2 linked regions of the Notamacropus eugenii genome follow. The protein of the gene in region 2 purifies or fractionates together with the protein of the main gene of each other region. This does not show direct contact. Links are inferred from orthologs where the notes say so. Each region holds a gene or a part of one and is shown on either strand. Other genes may lie near its edges.

Evidence for each region. The genes of interacting proteins can lie anywhere in the genome.
Region 1: the proteins of EXOSC8 (region 2) and DIS3L purify together in Homo sapiens (affinity purification with mass spectrometry; 4 studies listed by BioGRID and IntAct, counting the BioPlex papers as one, with this or other methods). This does not show direct contact. The link is inferred for Notamacropus eugenii from reciprocal best matches to the Homo sapiens genes EXOSC8 and DIS3L.

What each region holds. Positions count from the first base shown.
Region 1 is NC_092872.1:128,844,822-128,852,278, reverse strand, and holds the start of DIS3L (DIS3-like exonuclease 1), read right to left. Parts: upstream 3,008-7,457; 5' UTR 2,853-3,007; coding exon 2,714-2,852; intron 2,455-2,713; exon of another isoform or gene 2,391-2,454; intron 800-2,390; coding exon 646-799; intron 1-645. UniProt on the Homo sapiens protein: Catalytic component of the RNA exosome complex which has 3'->5' exoribonuclease activity and participates in a multitude of cellular RNA processing and degradation events.
Region 2 is NC_092876.1:98,499,228-98,506,363, forward strand, and holds the start of EXOSC8 (exosome complex component RRP43), read left to right. Parts: upstream 1-4,118; 5' UTR 4,119-4,195; coding exon 4,196-4,212; intron 4,213-4,879; coding exon 4,880-4,916; intron 4,917-5,207; coding exon 5,208-5,301; intron 5,302-6,389; coding exon 6,390-6,463; intron 6,464-7,136. Other genes in the region: ALG5 (dolichyl-phosphate beta-glucosyltransferase), read right to left, coding at 2,992-3,057. UniProt on the Homo sapiens protein: Non-catalytic component of the RNA exosome complex which has 3'->5' exoribonuclease activity and participates in a multitude of cellular RNA processing and degradation events.

The DNA of each region.
Region 1 (7,457 bases), on a different chromosome or scaffold from region 2:
GGCAAATACAATTATTGTGGATGGCAGCTATGGTGAGACTCTAGAACAAAACATGAGTTTATTTTAGGCCTCCTTCAGTAAATTATTAGATGGTATGATCTGTAAGCACTCGCAATGGAGAAGCATAGATTTTACAGCAAATACTGAACTTGTTTTCCTTCAATAAATTGCTGCAAGTTTCTGAAAGAATGGATATGTATATACACATACATGTACAGAGTTCTATGTATACATGTACGTATATATCAAGATTAACGTGCTAAAGACTCTAAAAAGAAATCACCAATCAGCTTTCTTCCACAAGAGAGAAAACAAAATAATGTGAAGGTTGAGCTGGTTGTAACCTTAAAACACCAACCTACTGGGATATGAGCTACGGAGCCAAACGAATATGCTTCGATCATGTGCTAAAACAAAAACCATAAAATAGAACAACTTCAAAAATGCCTTCCATAATCCCTTATTAAAGGAAGAAATAACAGATTATTTCCAAGTAAATTAAAAAAAAGTAAATAACAAATTAGTTCCAAAATTCCTTTTCCCTATTCCAAAATAATAGATTTCTTATCCTGCCCTTTCCCCTCCAGGACCTTTCTTATTTAATAAGTTCAAATCAGAAGTAAAAATTATGCAAAACAGATATACCTTCGTCCTCTTTGATGCTGTACAGCTTGACAGGCTGTTTGCATGAAAATAATACCTTTCAGCTCAGGAAACTCAAGAATCTCAAGGTAATCTTGAACAACTTTCCAGTCAGGGATAACATAATGAGTCACATCACTGGACAAAAGTTTCCCATCTGGAACATAATGCAAAATTTAAGAGATGAGACAACAGTTCCAAGGCTGCTTTATTACCATTGCCATGTCGCAGAGTCCCAGCGTACAAAATAACTTACAACCTTAACTACCTTGCATGGTTTTTAAAAGACAAGACAGATCTACTTTGGTAGAGGGCCAAAGACCAGGTAAACTTAGCAGCTTCATTTTTCTAAAGGTGGGATAAATAAAAGCATAACATGGTTTATTATGGTGCCAGAGCTGCACTGGGGGAAGTTGATGGATTTTCTGAAAAAAAAAACCACATTTTTAGGATTACTTAGATATTCTGGGTTAACTCATTACTGCCTAACAACTCATATCTGAAGACTGAGTGAAAAAGGCAATTTCCAGAGAATCATGTATTTCTAAATATAATTTCAAGCCAGGAGTTCTCCTTATGTTTCAGAGAGTAATGCTAGTCATCTATAACGCAGGTGTTAATTGAATAAACTATTATGGATGGCAATGAATGATACAATTTCCATCCAGCTCATGGGTCTACCCAACTTTGACCATTCATGTTCCACCAAGCCCTGAAGTTAAGGATTCCAAACAGGACTTCCGCAACCCACCTTCCACTAGAGGAATGATAATATGGGCTGGTTACTTAACACCTCTGGGCCTCAGTCTGGAGGTTCCTTCAACTCTAAAACCTATTATTAAACTCAGCAGTATGAACTGGAGGGTGGTCTTAAAGAAGACCCTGCAGAGCACACCAAAGGCCAAAGTTTTTTCAGGAAGAACTAACAGCAAGGGTTACCATGGCTTCTGCAAGTCTCCTGCCACCATGATGGTGGGTAAAGGTATGGATCCATGCACAGCATGAGGAAGGGGGCATCCAGGTGGCCATGGGACTTTTCCATTAGAATCCACCCTTTCGCCTGCTCTGGGAGACCCTGCCCCAGTCAGGAATGGTCCCTGAGCCTTTAGAAAGCAAGGGCACTTCTCCTATGGTCTCCAGCCCAGTCATCATTGGAGCCAGGCGGTTCCTAAGGGGGCGGACAACAGGCCATCGCCTTTCATAAGACTACAGGGTGCTAAGCTCCAAAACAAGAATCATCTTTAAGAACACGAATCTGGAACCCAAAGCAGATCAATCAACTTGAGATCAATCAATCAACAAGCTCTCATTAAGCCCTCACTGCGGGCCAGACACGGGAGGAGGGGGGGAGGACGACCTTCTAATGAGGCAGCAACGTGTACCTCCAGTCCCCAGTACAAGGCCGAGGGAAAGTGGGGGGCAGGACGGCCGGGAGGGGGAAGGGAGAGAGATAGAAGATGGGAATGAGCTCTACGAGCGGGGGTCCTAATCTTTTTGCGCCTCAGACTGATGTTTCTAGATATAATACGTTACATATAATATATACGTATAAAAAATATTTAAAAGTTACCCCCAAAGCCCCACCCCGTTTACGCTGAAATACAGGGCAAACTTTCTAGAGCGCGGTAAGCAGCAGAAACCCCCCACCTCCCCCGCTGCAGGGGCGCCGACCGCAGGCGCGCAGGCGCAGTGTGGCCATGCCTGCTTCCCGCCGCCCCCCACCCCGCCTCCAGAGGACGCCTCGTTACCCACAAACCGGGGTCTACGTTCCCATCGGAAGGCAGTCGGGGGAGGCCGCAGTTCGCAGGCCCGCCCAGGCCCAGGCTCTAGCCCCGCCCCCGGGGGGGAGGCGGGGACTCACGCCCAGTGTTTACCACCTAGCCCTGGCCGGGCGTAGGCCGCAGGGCCATCCCGCGTCCCCGCCGCCACGAGGAGGCGCAGACCCCGTCTGGACGCCTCGCCTCGGCCCTCCCTGCAGGGGGCGCCACAGCTGCGGGAGGGCCGGAAACCTCGGCCGCGTTTACGCCCCCGCCCCCGCCAGCTCCCTTCCTGCTCCCTCCCCGGCTCTGACCGTTACGGCAGCGGGCGGGCTGCGGGCACAGCGGGCTGTTGCAGGGCACGCTGGGCCGCAGGTAGTGCTCCCTCACGATGCGCACAGTGCGGCCCTGGAACGTCCTCAGGTGCAGCACCTTCTCCCGCTTCTGCAGCATGGCGGCGGCAAAGGCCCGGCAGCGGGAAGAGGCGAGGCCCCGGCGTGGAGCCCGCCCCCTTCCGTCCTCTGGAGGCCGGGCCCTGAGCGCGGCGGGGCGCCTCCCCCCGGCCCGAGGCCGGAGCTGCCTCTGGGGCTGCTGCAGCTGCCGGGGCCGCCCCGCTGCGGGGCCCAACGGCCGCCCCCTCCTCGATCTCGGGGCCTCGCGGAGAAACTCCCTCCGTGCGGAGTCGGGGTCCGAGTCAGAGCTCTGTCACTGGCCGACCCCGAGGGAGCTCCGTGCCTCAGTTTACCCTCCCTGCAGTGAGAGAGAGGGTGTGTGTGTGCGCGCTCGGAGGGCAGGGCGAGAAAACTCTACCCATGCCTGAAGAAGAGATTATGGAAACAAAGGAGGGGAGGAGAAAATACATGAAAGACTCCCACTTCTTGGGAAAGCAGGTTAATTACTGTGGCTGTTAATTACCACAGCTGTTTCCTTTCCACTTGAAGTCAGGCAGCAAACATGTATTAAGCACCAGCTGTGTACCAGGCACTGCGCTAAGCCCTGGAGAAGCAAAGACAAAAACAATCCCTTCCCTAAAGGAGCCCCCATTCTAATGGGGGGGACCAGGTTAGAAGAGCTACGTACACGCAGATGTATGTGTGTGTGTGTCCGTATAGTCTGTTCTCCGTATAAACATATACATGTGTGTATATATGTACAGCCTGCCTTCTCCATACATACACATATATAGACTATCTATATACACACACTTGCGGAGATCATGAAAGACTTCTGGCAGAAGGTGATACTGTAGCAGAGACTTGGAAAGAAGCCAGGGGTGGGAGTTCAGAACGTTCCAGGCTTGGGAGACAGAGGGGATGGAGTTTCTCGTGTCTGTAACTTTGTAGCTAGGATCTGCAAAGAATACACCGTAGGACTCTAAGGGACACCTTACCTGAAACCTCCCATCACCACGAATCTAAACTGAGCTTTGTCACTAGGCAACTGGGGAAGATCCTTCCCTCATTGTGCTTGGAATAACGGAAGGGCTGCTCAGTGGTGCCCTGTTTGTGAAAAAGGGTGCATAGTAAGGTAGCATGTGTGCCTATGCACCTACTTTGTCCTAGCGCAAGATGTTTACATGTGAGGGTGATACTACATTAATTTTTAAAAAGACCTTAAGGGTTTGGAGCTTAGATGATGTGCTTGGTAGTATTTCATCATCAGTGGATTCCATTCATTTATTGATTCAACAAACATTTATTAAAATCTTACTATATGTAGAATTCTTTCAGGCATGGAGTTGATCGAAATTTCAGATAAGACAGTCTTTGGATGGCTGTGAAGACCAAATGAGATAATATACACCATATAGCAAACTTTAAAGAACTATATGAATACTAGCTATTATTATAATTCCTCTAATTTCTAGTGGCCTCCAAAATAAATGCAACTTTGTATTTATTTTGAATTCTGTTCATACTTATTCTGTAAGTAAAAAGGTACACATACATATATAATATATATATGCACACTATATATATACAACATATATGCACACACATTTTGTTTCTCTGATATACAGGGATTATTTATTTATTTGTGTTTGTATCCACAGCACTTAGTATAGTACTTTTGTAGGTGTGTAATAATTTCTTGTTGATTGATTAACAAAATCATTGGAGTTTCCTTGTACCTGAAATCACTAAGTCAAGTCAATAGGCATTTTATTAAACACTAGGCATACGAGGAGAGGCAAAAATGAATAAAAAGACAAGACAAAACCTAACAAAATAATTTGTAGTATTATATGTAGTTTTATGCTTCTTTATGTTTCATCATCTTTTTTTGGTGATAGAACATAGTACAAAATACTTTGTTCATGATTTTAGGTAAAGAGAAACGACTTCATTAATTTTAAGTACTTCTTAAGCATCTGTGCATTCATTGCACCAATAAGCACTATGCAGAGTATGTTAAAGGAAAATCCCTGCTTTCTAAGAATTTACAATCTAAAATGGAAAATATTGCCCTTTCTTTTTTTTTCTCAAAGATTGCCCAATGCTTTTCTTAAAATAAACTACCCTGTTGTCTCTGCTCCCTTAGTTTCAGACTGGTCTGTCTGTATAGTCAGCATTTCATGCCTTTATGTCTGCTTAAAGCTGAACCACAAGGTGTCTTTTGTTGTCCCAGCTTATAATCACCTTCACTTCAGTTCACTCTCAAGCAGCATTTTAGCACAAGTTCCAGTCTTGTTGTATGTTAAATATAGTTTACATATTATTAATCTACTCAAGAAACCAATTTTGAATTCTGTGATAGATCTAAGTTCTATAGTCCTGTAGAGGTTGGACATGTTTGCCACTCTGCACATTTTTAGTCTGATCCGTAGCATGGCGCCATGTCAATACATGATCTGTCTGCCCCTACAAAAGACATACTGGCTGGTCATCTTGATTCAATTTTCAGTTTTTGACTTCATTGTCAGTTAGTGTATCGTTGGACAGCGTGATGCCAGGATAGCAAATTCAGTGACAGCTTTTCACTCCATATTGCTGATGAAAATAATTGACTAGGAATGGGTTCTCCTGGTGCATGACTTGCTTCTTCTTCAGGCTTAGCATCAGTGTGCTTATTCTGCAAAGAGTTGTTAATCATTTGCATGCTTACTTGCATGTGTTTCAAGAGTGCAGCCATCAGCAAACAACAACTTCTGAATTTCTACTGATGAAGGGTGATACCATGAGTGGTGACCAGATGTGCAGTTTTTCAAAGGGTAGGCATAGAACTTATTGCTCCTGAGGGACTTAGGTTTATTTACATTAAATTTGCCATCTTCATGGGATACCAGAATTGACAATCTTTAACTCACAATTTCTTGTATCCTTGTATTATATATTTCTTGTATTCTTGATTGTAAATCAATTAATAGTAGATGGTAGAACGTTCCAGCCCTCAGTAACCCTTTGCATAGCTGAAGACTGCTAAACCATTTTGACTGGATCTCTGGGTATCCTCATTTAGCTCAGCCCTTGGCAATTCCACTCTTCTATCTTGATTCTAAGAAAGGAATCTGTGGGAGGAAAAGAGTTAGGCTTCCAAGTATGGCAGCTTCTTTTAGAATGGAGATTCTTATTATTTTTTTGAGTGTTTCATGGATCCCTTTGGTAGTCAAATAAACATATTCACCCCTTCTCAGAATAATGGTTTTAAACACATAAAATAAAATAGAGAACTATAAAGGAAACTATTGAAATACAGTTATAAGATTTTCTTTTCAATTCACATAAATCCTATGTTAAGAACCCCTGTTTGGGAACCTGCTGGGCCAAATATCACTGATGCACATTTGGAAAAACACTTTTCTCAGGTGGTACCAATGCTTGAATGGGTTATTGAAGAAGCTTGTGGAATTTTCTCGAAAATTTTTCAAAGTTGATGATATGCCCAAGCCAAAGATATTTTGAACAGGTAGCCAAGGGTATAGAGGCACAAAAGAAGGGAGGCATGAAAATATTATCTTTGTAAGAAGTCCAGCAGCAGGATGTTGTAAGTACTGATAATTAAGACCTACAGAATTCAAGTAAGGGTTCTATAGCACACACTATATGGCTGCTCTAACTTTCTTGGGCCTCAGTTACTCTAGCTAGTGTTTCAGAATTTGTTGGGTATTACCACCAACTAGTCAGTGACTAAATGCCATGTAAATAGCTAAAATAACCAAATTTATCCGAAAACAAGGTTATTTTCATTTGTGTCCCAACTCAGTAGAAAATTCGCTTAAAGAGAAATGGTTGCCAAGATGACTCTGTTGTATTAAGGGTAATTTAATTTCATATACATTAAAAGATGTTAATCCTTGATTTTCACTTTTTGTTACAGATATAATAATTCCCTTTTTGCTTTCTGAAAGCACTATGAATCCCCGTAATCCACTTTGCAGTGATTACCATAAAATGTTCTGCTTAAGAGGGTTTTTTTTTGGGGGGGGGGCGGGTATGTTAAAAGAGAAAAAGAATTATTTTCTGTGTGTAAATTGTGTATCTCAGCAGGATTTTTATTGTGCGGTTTACTTTTTTCTTTCTATAACGTAATTTCTTTCTACACCACTAAGGGATGCTATTTCATTTTTTTTAAGGTTATATTGCTAACTCTCCTACTGCCTCATGTGGAGAAGGCATTCAGGCTTGTAGGTTATTCCTATCAAAATGCTTTCAGTTGTTTTTTGTTTTTTTTTTTTCAGAAACCTTTCATATTTTGACTGGGACTTTTGACAAGAAGCTCAGAAGAATTGCTGCTTCAAAATTAATGAGAACTAAACTTCATTCATTGAATTTAAGGAAAATGGTGAGAGGGGTGGGGTCTTATGCTCTTGAAACATGTTACCATGCAGGGAAAATGCAGTTGTGTGATTAGCCACTGAAAATTATTTAAAATATGAGCATCTCTATTTTTTACTTACATTTTCTGTTCTGGTGTTATTTGACAGAATTAAGTTTTCATTTGTCAGTCTTATGACATGGTCACTATGCATAGTTAAATTTAATTTGATGATTATACTGCACAGAATTTCTTAACTCATTTTAGTTTTTTATAACTGAATATAGCTGTCTGGAAACCTGC
Region 2 (7,136 bases):
TCCTGGTTTCTGTCTTTCTCTTATTCAATTCACCCTCCACATTTATTTCCAAAATAATGTTCCTAAAACACAGATCTGACTGTATCACTTTCCTACTCAAGATTCTTCAATAGTTATTTATTGCCTTAGATTAAAATGTAAACTCCTCAGCTTAGCATTTAATGCCATTCATTTGACTTCAGACTATATTTCCTCATATAATTTCTACTTATGTACTGTACTATGTAGCAAAACTGGCCTACTAGCTGCTCCTCATACATAACATTCCAATTCCATCTCCATGTCTTTGTACACAATATCCCCTCACAGTCTGGAATGTAGTCTCACCTCCACTTCCATCTAGTGGTACCTAGACCATTTAGTCTAAGTTCCTGAAGCCTAAGGATGCTAAGTGACTTGCCAAGTATCAAAAGTGAAATCTGAACCCAGATGGTCTTTCCACTGTGTATGCTGCTGCCTTGTTTCTCTGGTAACCAGTGATCCATGACTGAGCTTTTAGACCACAACCCCAGCACCTACCATGATGATATACACAGAACAGTTGTTTTGCTGAATCAATTAATTATCTTTGTCTAGATTCATTTGATCAAGAAATAATGGCCCAAATGTAAAATACTGTTTGTACAGCTTTAAAGTTTATCCACTTTAATTCACACAACTCATTATATGGACTGAATGTAAGTTTCCAATTGAATATAAGCTCCTTGATAGGAAAGCCATAATTAGAGATTCTTGAACTGGAGTAAATTAAGCTAAAGTATGAACACTCCTGTGTATCGCTGAAGTAAGCCGGAGACAGATCATGGGAGCTGAATCAGAAGAACTGGGAAGTCATGTGAGGCTAGGCTGGGATGAAGAGGTCTATAAGCCAGGCACTGAACTTATTAGGGAGAAGAAAGAATGTCTTGGAGTTCCAGAGATTTCAGTCATAAGGATAACACAATGAGCCTTAAAGGAAAAAGAGTTGGCTGTTGAGTGACAGTGGCAGAGAGAATACTAGGGAGCAAGAAATATGCCAATTCTTCCTCCTGGTCTTGTATGTTTGGGGTTGTGACATATAAGTAGCCAGATTTGGAAAAAAAGTCAGAAAATCCAGCATCTTACAGAGAGAGCTAGGTTTTGGTGCACAGCACAACATAGAAGCAACATGAGAAGATATCTAGGGAAAACTGAAGGTGATGGCTGTGTGAGTGAAGGAGTCAGATGTGAGATATGTTGTAAAGGCAGAAAAGGCAAGTTTGGCAAGTGACTGGATATTTGTGGGGTCAAGGCAAGTAAGGGGAAAGTATAATGCCAAGATTATGAAGCTGAGAAACCACAAGGATGGAACCTTTAACCTAAATAAGGAAGACTGGAAGAAAGAAATCTTTATGAGGAAGGATATCGAGTTCAGTTTTAGACCTATCAAGATTAACATGCTTCTGGGGCATCTAGTCTGGACCAGTCCAGTGTGCGTGTGCTCACAGGTATCTGCCGTATCATCTCCCCCAAGACTAGCAGTCCTACTCCCTTGCCTTCTCCTGGGTCCACCTGCTTTTCTCAGCCACCAACAGGAGGATCCCTAGCAGCAGGAGAAAGGGAAGACAGATCCCTCCTCTTCTGTAACCAATCTCTGCTCCTTTAATGTTTTCCTATGTCCCTTTCTCAGAAGTAACAGGTCTAGCAAGAACTGAGGAAGGAAAAAGTAGTGTTTCCCTAGATGTCAGTAGCTGAGGCAATACCTTGGCTTTTCTATTGCAGATTATTAAAGATGATTTTCTCCCTCTGTGTTTTCTTAGGACATAGCATACATAGTACATAAGATGTTTCATAAATAAATGTTGTTGATAATTCTTCAATGTGTGATGACTTCAATTTGAGGAGTGGGGCAAATGCTGGATTCTTCATAGCTCCAAACAGGTATGCCTTTTAAGTTACCGGAAAAAAATTAATACTGCCCAATTTGACAAAATGATCTGTTAGAATTCATCTCTTACCCAGATACAAGTCCCAAGATACTGAGATAATAATTATGTACATTGCTTCATCTAGTGAGGACCTTTTCCAGTTACACTGGAAGTGGAGAACTGAGAAGTGCATTTACTAAATGGACTCAGCATTTACTAAACACACTGCCTAGAGTATTACTCTTTAGAAAGATTCATTTCAGTACCATCTATTACAGACATTAGCCAAAATTTCCTTTTAAAATTATTCATAATTTATTAGAAGTATCTATTCTACCAGAGTGGAAAGTACAAGAATAAACTCCTTATAACAGTTTATAACAATGAGATCGGGGGTCTTTATAAGGGGATACCAAACTCCGCATGTCCAAATTAAAACTCATTTTTCTCTCCTTCCTTCTAAACATATGGGATAGTCTAAATGCACCCCTACCTCTTCTTTCTTCCAATTGGGATTATCTTCATTTATTCACACATTCATTCATTCATTCCTCTTAGCACATTACCTAGCACAGGAGAGCTTTTTCTTACGTTCATTCGTTCATTGACTTATTCATCTCCCCTTCAGTTATTACTAAGGAGCTACTTCTGGCACTGTCCTGCCATCACTTTTCCTAGGCAATGCGGACAAAGACTGGAGCATGCGGCCCAAGAAATGAAGAGGAAACATCTCAGGGTCACAGGATCCAGAACAGAGGGTGTGCTAATTAGTCTGGAGAGAAGAGAGGCAGGAAGGTGGGGTCTAAAGGGCACCGATTTGGAGGCAGAGAAGTTGCGTCTGAAAATTAATGACTTTGAGTCTGAAGTGACTTTCTCGCCAGGCCTCAGTTTCCCCATCTGTAAAATGGTCCCTTCCAGTTCTAAGTCTAGGGCCAAGGGTGAGGACTAGAGAGTGGGGTTGCTCGCAAGGCTGAGAGGGCTGGAGACAGGGGTTTGGGTCGGAGATCCTGGGCAGGGCTGCCAGGGCCTGGAGCCCGGGAGGGGAATCGTCCTCGGGGAAGGCGGGCCCGCCGGGCCGGAGTCCTGGATCCCTCCCCCTCCTCACCAGGATCAGCACCGTGGGCACCAACACCAAGAAGAGCACCGCCGGCTGCTCCACGAAGGGCACCATCCTCCATCCCCAGGGCCCGCAGCTTCGCTGGATCTGGCCCTATCCCGCACCTACACCTAAGCGGAAGCGCCGACAGTTCGGCCGCTACGGCCCGCAGCCGCGCCCCGCCTCCAGCGTCGGGAGAGACGCCTGGCCTAGACCCGCTTCCCGACCCGCTCCCACAGCGCCGCCTGTCGGCAATGTGCCTCGCTTTGACAGGCTGGCTCCCACCGCGCATGGGCAGTCCGAGCCTCTTGCCCCGCCCACCATCAGCGTTTCCGGTCCTAGATGGTCTTAGCTCAGAGCTCCTCCTGGGCTTGGATTTGTTGGCTCTTTTTTAAGATACTAAGTTCCTGGAGGGAAAAGGGATCGTCCCATTTTTCGGTCAGACCTGGCTCCAGGAGCCTAAAGCCAGTCCCGGCCGTACTTCGTCTCACTCCCCGGGGCGATATCTCCGAGAGATGGATATTTTGGTCCATCTCCCAAGGAATTGAGTATATTAAGTGGTGCTTTTATACAGTGTATAATGGATTACCTGTAAAAACAAGAAAACCAAAACCGTGCCGGTGCTCGCAGTCACCCCGTGGGCGGCAGGTGCCCCCTCGGTGCTGGCAGGCCACTCTCTCCCGTGCTCGCGCGCGACACACGTCTGGGTGAAGAAAGCTTCCCCGTCTTCCTCGAAAGAAGGGGAGGAACTTGGGGGGCAGCCGCGCAGGGTGACGTGGCCAGACGGACGGCTGCAGCGGGCCCCCCATCTGTCGTCTGCAAACTTTAGGAAACACGTGTTCAAAACTTGCCCGCGGTGCCCGCGCTGGGCGTCCGGGCAAAGCACGGCCCGGAGCGCACCGCTCCCCACGAACCCCGAAGGGGCAGCGCCGGGAGATGCCCCGTAACCGGACGTCCCCGAGCCGTGTTCTTCACTTCCCCAAATGGAGATTCGCTAAAATTCGAAATCAAAGGAAAACACGAGAGATGCTACCGCTTCGCTCAGGGTCAGGCCACCAAGCCAGGAGCTGGTCGTGGTCGCCTCCCGAACCGTCTCCGTCCCAGCGCAGGCAGAGCGGCCGGGTTTCGTGTCGAATGTGCGGAGGCGGAGCGGGCGCCGGCGGCGGAGGAGGGCGGGCTCCCGCCGCCGGGAAACACGTGGGACGCGTAGAACATGGCGGCTGGATTCAAGTGAGTCTCCCCGGGGGACTCCGCCGGGAGGGGTGCGGGGAGCGAGGGAAAGACGCCGGGGGCGTCTGCGGCCTCAGAAGGAGAGCCGAGCCCCGCGGCCTGCCCGAGCGGGCCGGGCTGGGCCTTCTGCGCCCTGGGATCCCCGGCCCGTGGGCCCCGCTTCCACTCCCCCGAGTGGCACGTCGGGGAGCCGGTCGGGTTTCAGGGCCCTCGGCTGCGCAGGGTAACCTCTGCGCCTCTGACCTGAGGGGAGGCGGGCCAGTCTCCCAGTGCCCGGGCCGGGGCGGGCTGCGCGGGGGGCAGGAAGCTCCAGGCGGGTCCAGACCGCGCTTTCTTTCCGGAGCCTCCGTGCTCGTTGCCGTCGGATCCCCGATGGGCCGGCCGCGTGGTCTGCGCACAGAGGCTGACCCGAGCCGCGTCTTTGCCACAGTTAAAAAGCCCAGCCCTAAATAAAACTAGACGTTTAAAGAAGCCAAGCTGGCGCCGGGAGGACCCCGTGCGAGCCAAGAGCATTTTGTGACGCTAAGGACGTAGCGTGAATCCATGTGAGGGATCCACAGATTTAGACACCTTTTGTTACAACGTCAGAAAGAGAATTTGAAACACAGTGTTGGCTTTAGTGTGCTTGTGAATCTTTAAAAATAAATTGTATTTTCAATCATTTCAGAACAGTCGAACCACTGGAGTATTATAGGAGATTTTTGGTAAGTAAAAGCAACGGGGTACATCTAGAACTTTGGAAGTGGAGGAGGCCGGTCATCTAGTTCAGTCCCCCCGTTTTTCAGATGAGGAAACTGAGGCCTAGGTCAAGTGCCTGGCCAAGGTCATCCGGGCTTAACGGTAGAGCACCTTGTTACGTCACTGTAAAGTTCACATGAGATTTCAGGGAGGCCTTTGCGGGGTTCACACGACATGATGGAGAAGCATGAATGAGGGAATGATATGCCTGCGGTATGATTAAGGAAAGTATATGGGAATCGTGTTTGTTTATTTAGAAAGAGAACTGCCGTCCAGATGGAAGGGAGCTGGGGGAGTTCAGGACCACTACTGTCAATATAGGTAAGAATATTCAGCGTCCTGAAAAGAAACGTAAGTGCTCCAACACCAAACCAACTTTCTATGTAGCGCTTGTTCTGTACTGCTGATAAATTCTTCTGGTGGTTTTTTTTTTTGGAAATGCTTTTTTTTTTAACCAAAAGATTTTGTTCCTGTATGCGTGTCATAAATTGTTGACACAGGCTTAAGTATATGAGTCATTTATGAAAAGCTAGATGGAGTAATGGAATAAATTGGAATCATGGTTCTCTTATGAATAATAAACCAAATCTTATTTTAACAAATGTAGCTACAATAAAAATTTCTATATGGAATATTAGTAAGTCCCAGTTTGTTTCCAGCAATATGCAGCAATCAAATCTAATAAAGCAAAGGATTCAAAACATTTTGTAATGAAATTTACTTTAGGATAATCACTTGATTGTGTTAATCTGTGTAAGTATATCATTTATCTGTAATAAACTTGGCACTTCTTTGTTCAGAAACGTTTGGTGGCTCCCTGTTGCCTCTGGTATAAATGCAGACTCTTCATCATGGCACTTAAAGCCCTTTAGTCTTGACTCTCTTTACTGTTCCAGTCTTCTTTCATATTATTGACCTTTACACAATTTCATAGTCCAGCCAAACTGGCCTACTAGTTGTTCCTCAATCTCTACATTCTATCTCTGTGTTTTTTGTGTGTTGCTTCTCCTGCTAGGAATGCATTCCTTCCTTATCTCAGCTCTTCTCAGGTGCTGCCTTCTGTACATCCTTTCTGATACTCCTTCTACTCAAATTTCCTCTTATTGTACTTATCAGTATACTAGTTGTACCCCCTCAAAGAATACAGGTCTCTCAAGGACAGGAATTGTTTGGGTTTTGTCTTTATATTCCAGCACCTGGCACAGTATAAATGTTTGTTGAATTGGACTTGACTTTAGATAGAATTAGATTTTGTCCGCTGACTGATGAGGCAAACTAGAAGCAAAATTTCACTGACTTGACCAGAACCTCCAAATACACGTAAAGCCATGATGAGTTTTTAATCAAATGGACAAAACTGTTAAACCTGGTAATAATTACTGGTAAGATGACTTTTGAAATTTTTTTTCTAATAAGTTTTTTAATCTGTTAAATATCAGGTTCAATTACTACTGCAGATGGTTCTGCTTTAGTGAAGTTGGGAAATACAACAGTAATTTGTGGAGTTAAAGCGGTAGGTCTCTTTTTCATTTAATCATCTAAAAAAGTTACCAGATTAGTTTCACTGATCATTTTTTTTTAACCAGACCTTTGATTTCACCAGTGTAGGGAGCTCCTGGTGAGGATACTCTCTCTACTAATACAGATGGAGTCTTGGAGACTTACCTGGGACACTGACAGGTTACGTAGTGGCCAGCATGACATAGAGGATGTGTCAGATGCTGGACTTAAACCTAGGTTTTCCTTACTACCAGGGAAGCTCATTATCCTTTTGCCATGAGGCTTCTCATTTCTCTTATTTAGATGATAATGAATGTCTCTAACACTGCAGTAGACTGGAAAATCCAGTAGCATTTTTATCAGGCTCTTATTTTTATTTCCAAAGAGCAATTTAAGGATTAATAATGGTTGTAACACAGGCCAGAGAAACAAAAGTTCAGTAATGACACACGAATTGTGATATGATTATTCTTTGGATGCATCAAAATTGGAATTCATTTTTAATTTTTCAGATTTTAAAAATTATTTGAGAAACTAAGATTCCTAGGATAAGCCTGTTGGTAACATGAAATCATAAAAAATATTTTATTTTCAGGCATTTACTTTGTATGGAACATAATGGAAAACCTAAGCTAGTCAAAATAAAATAGTTTACATAGTAGTGTGTTAATAGAACTGCAATATAA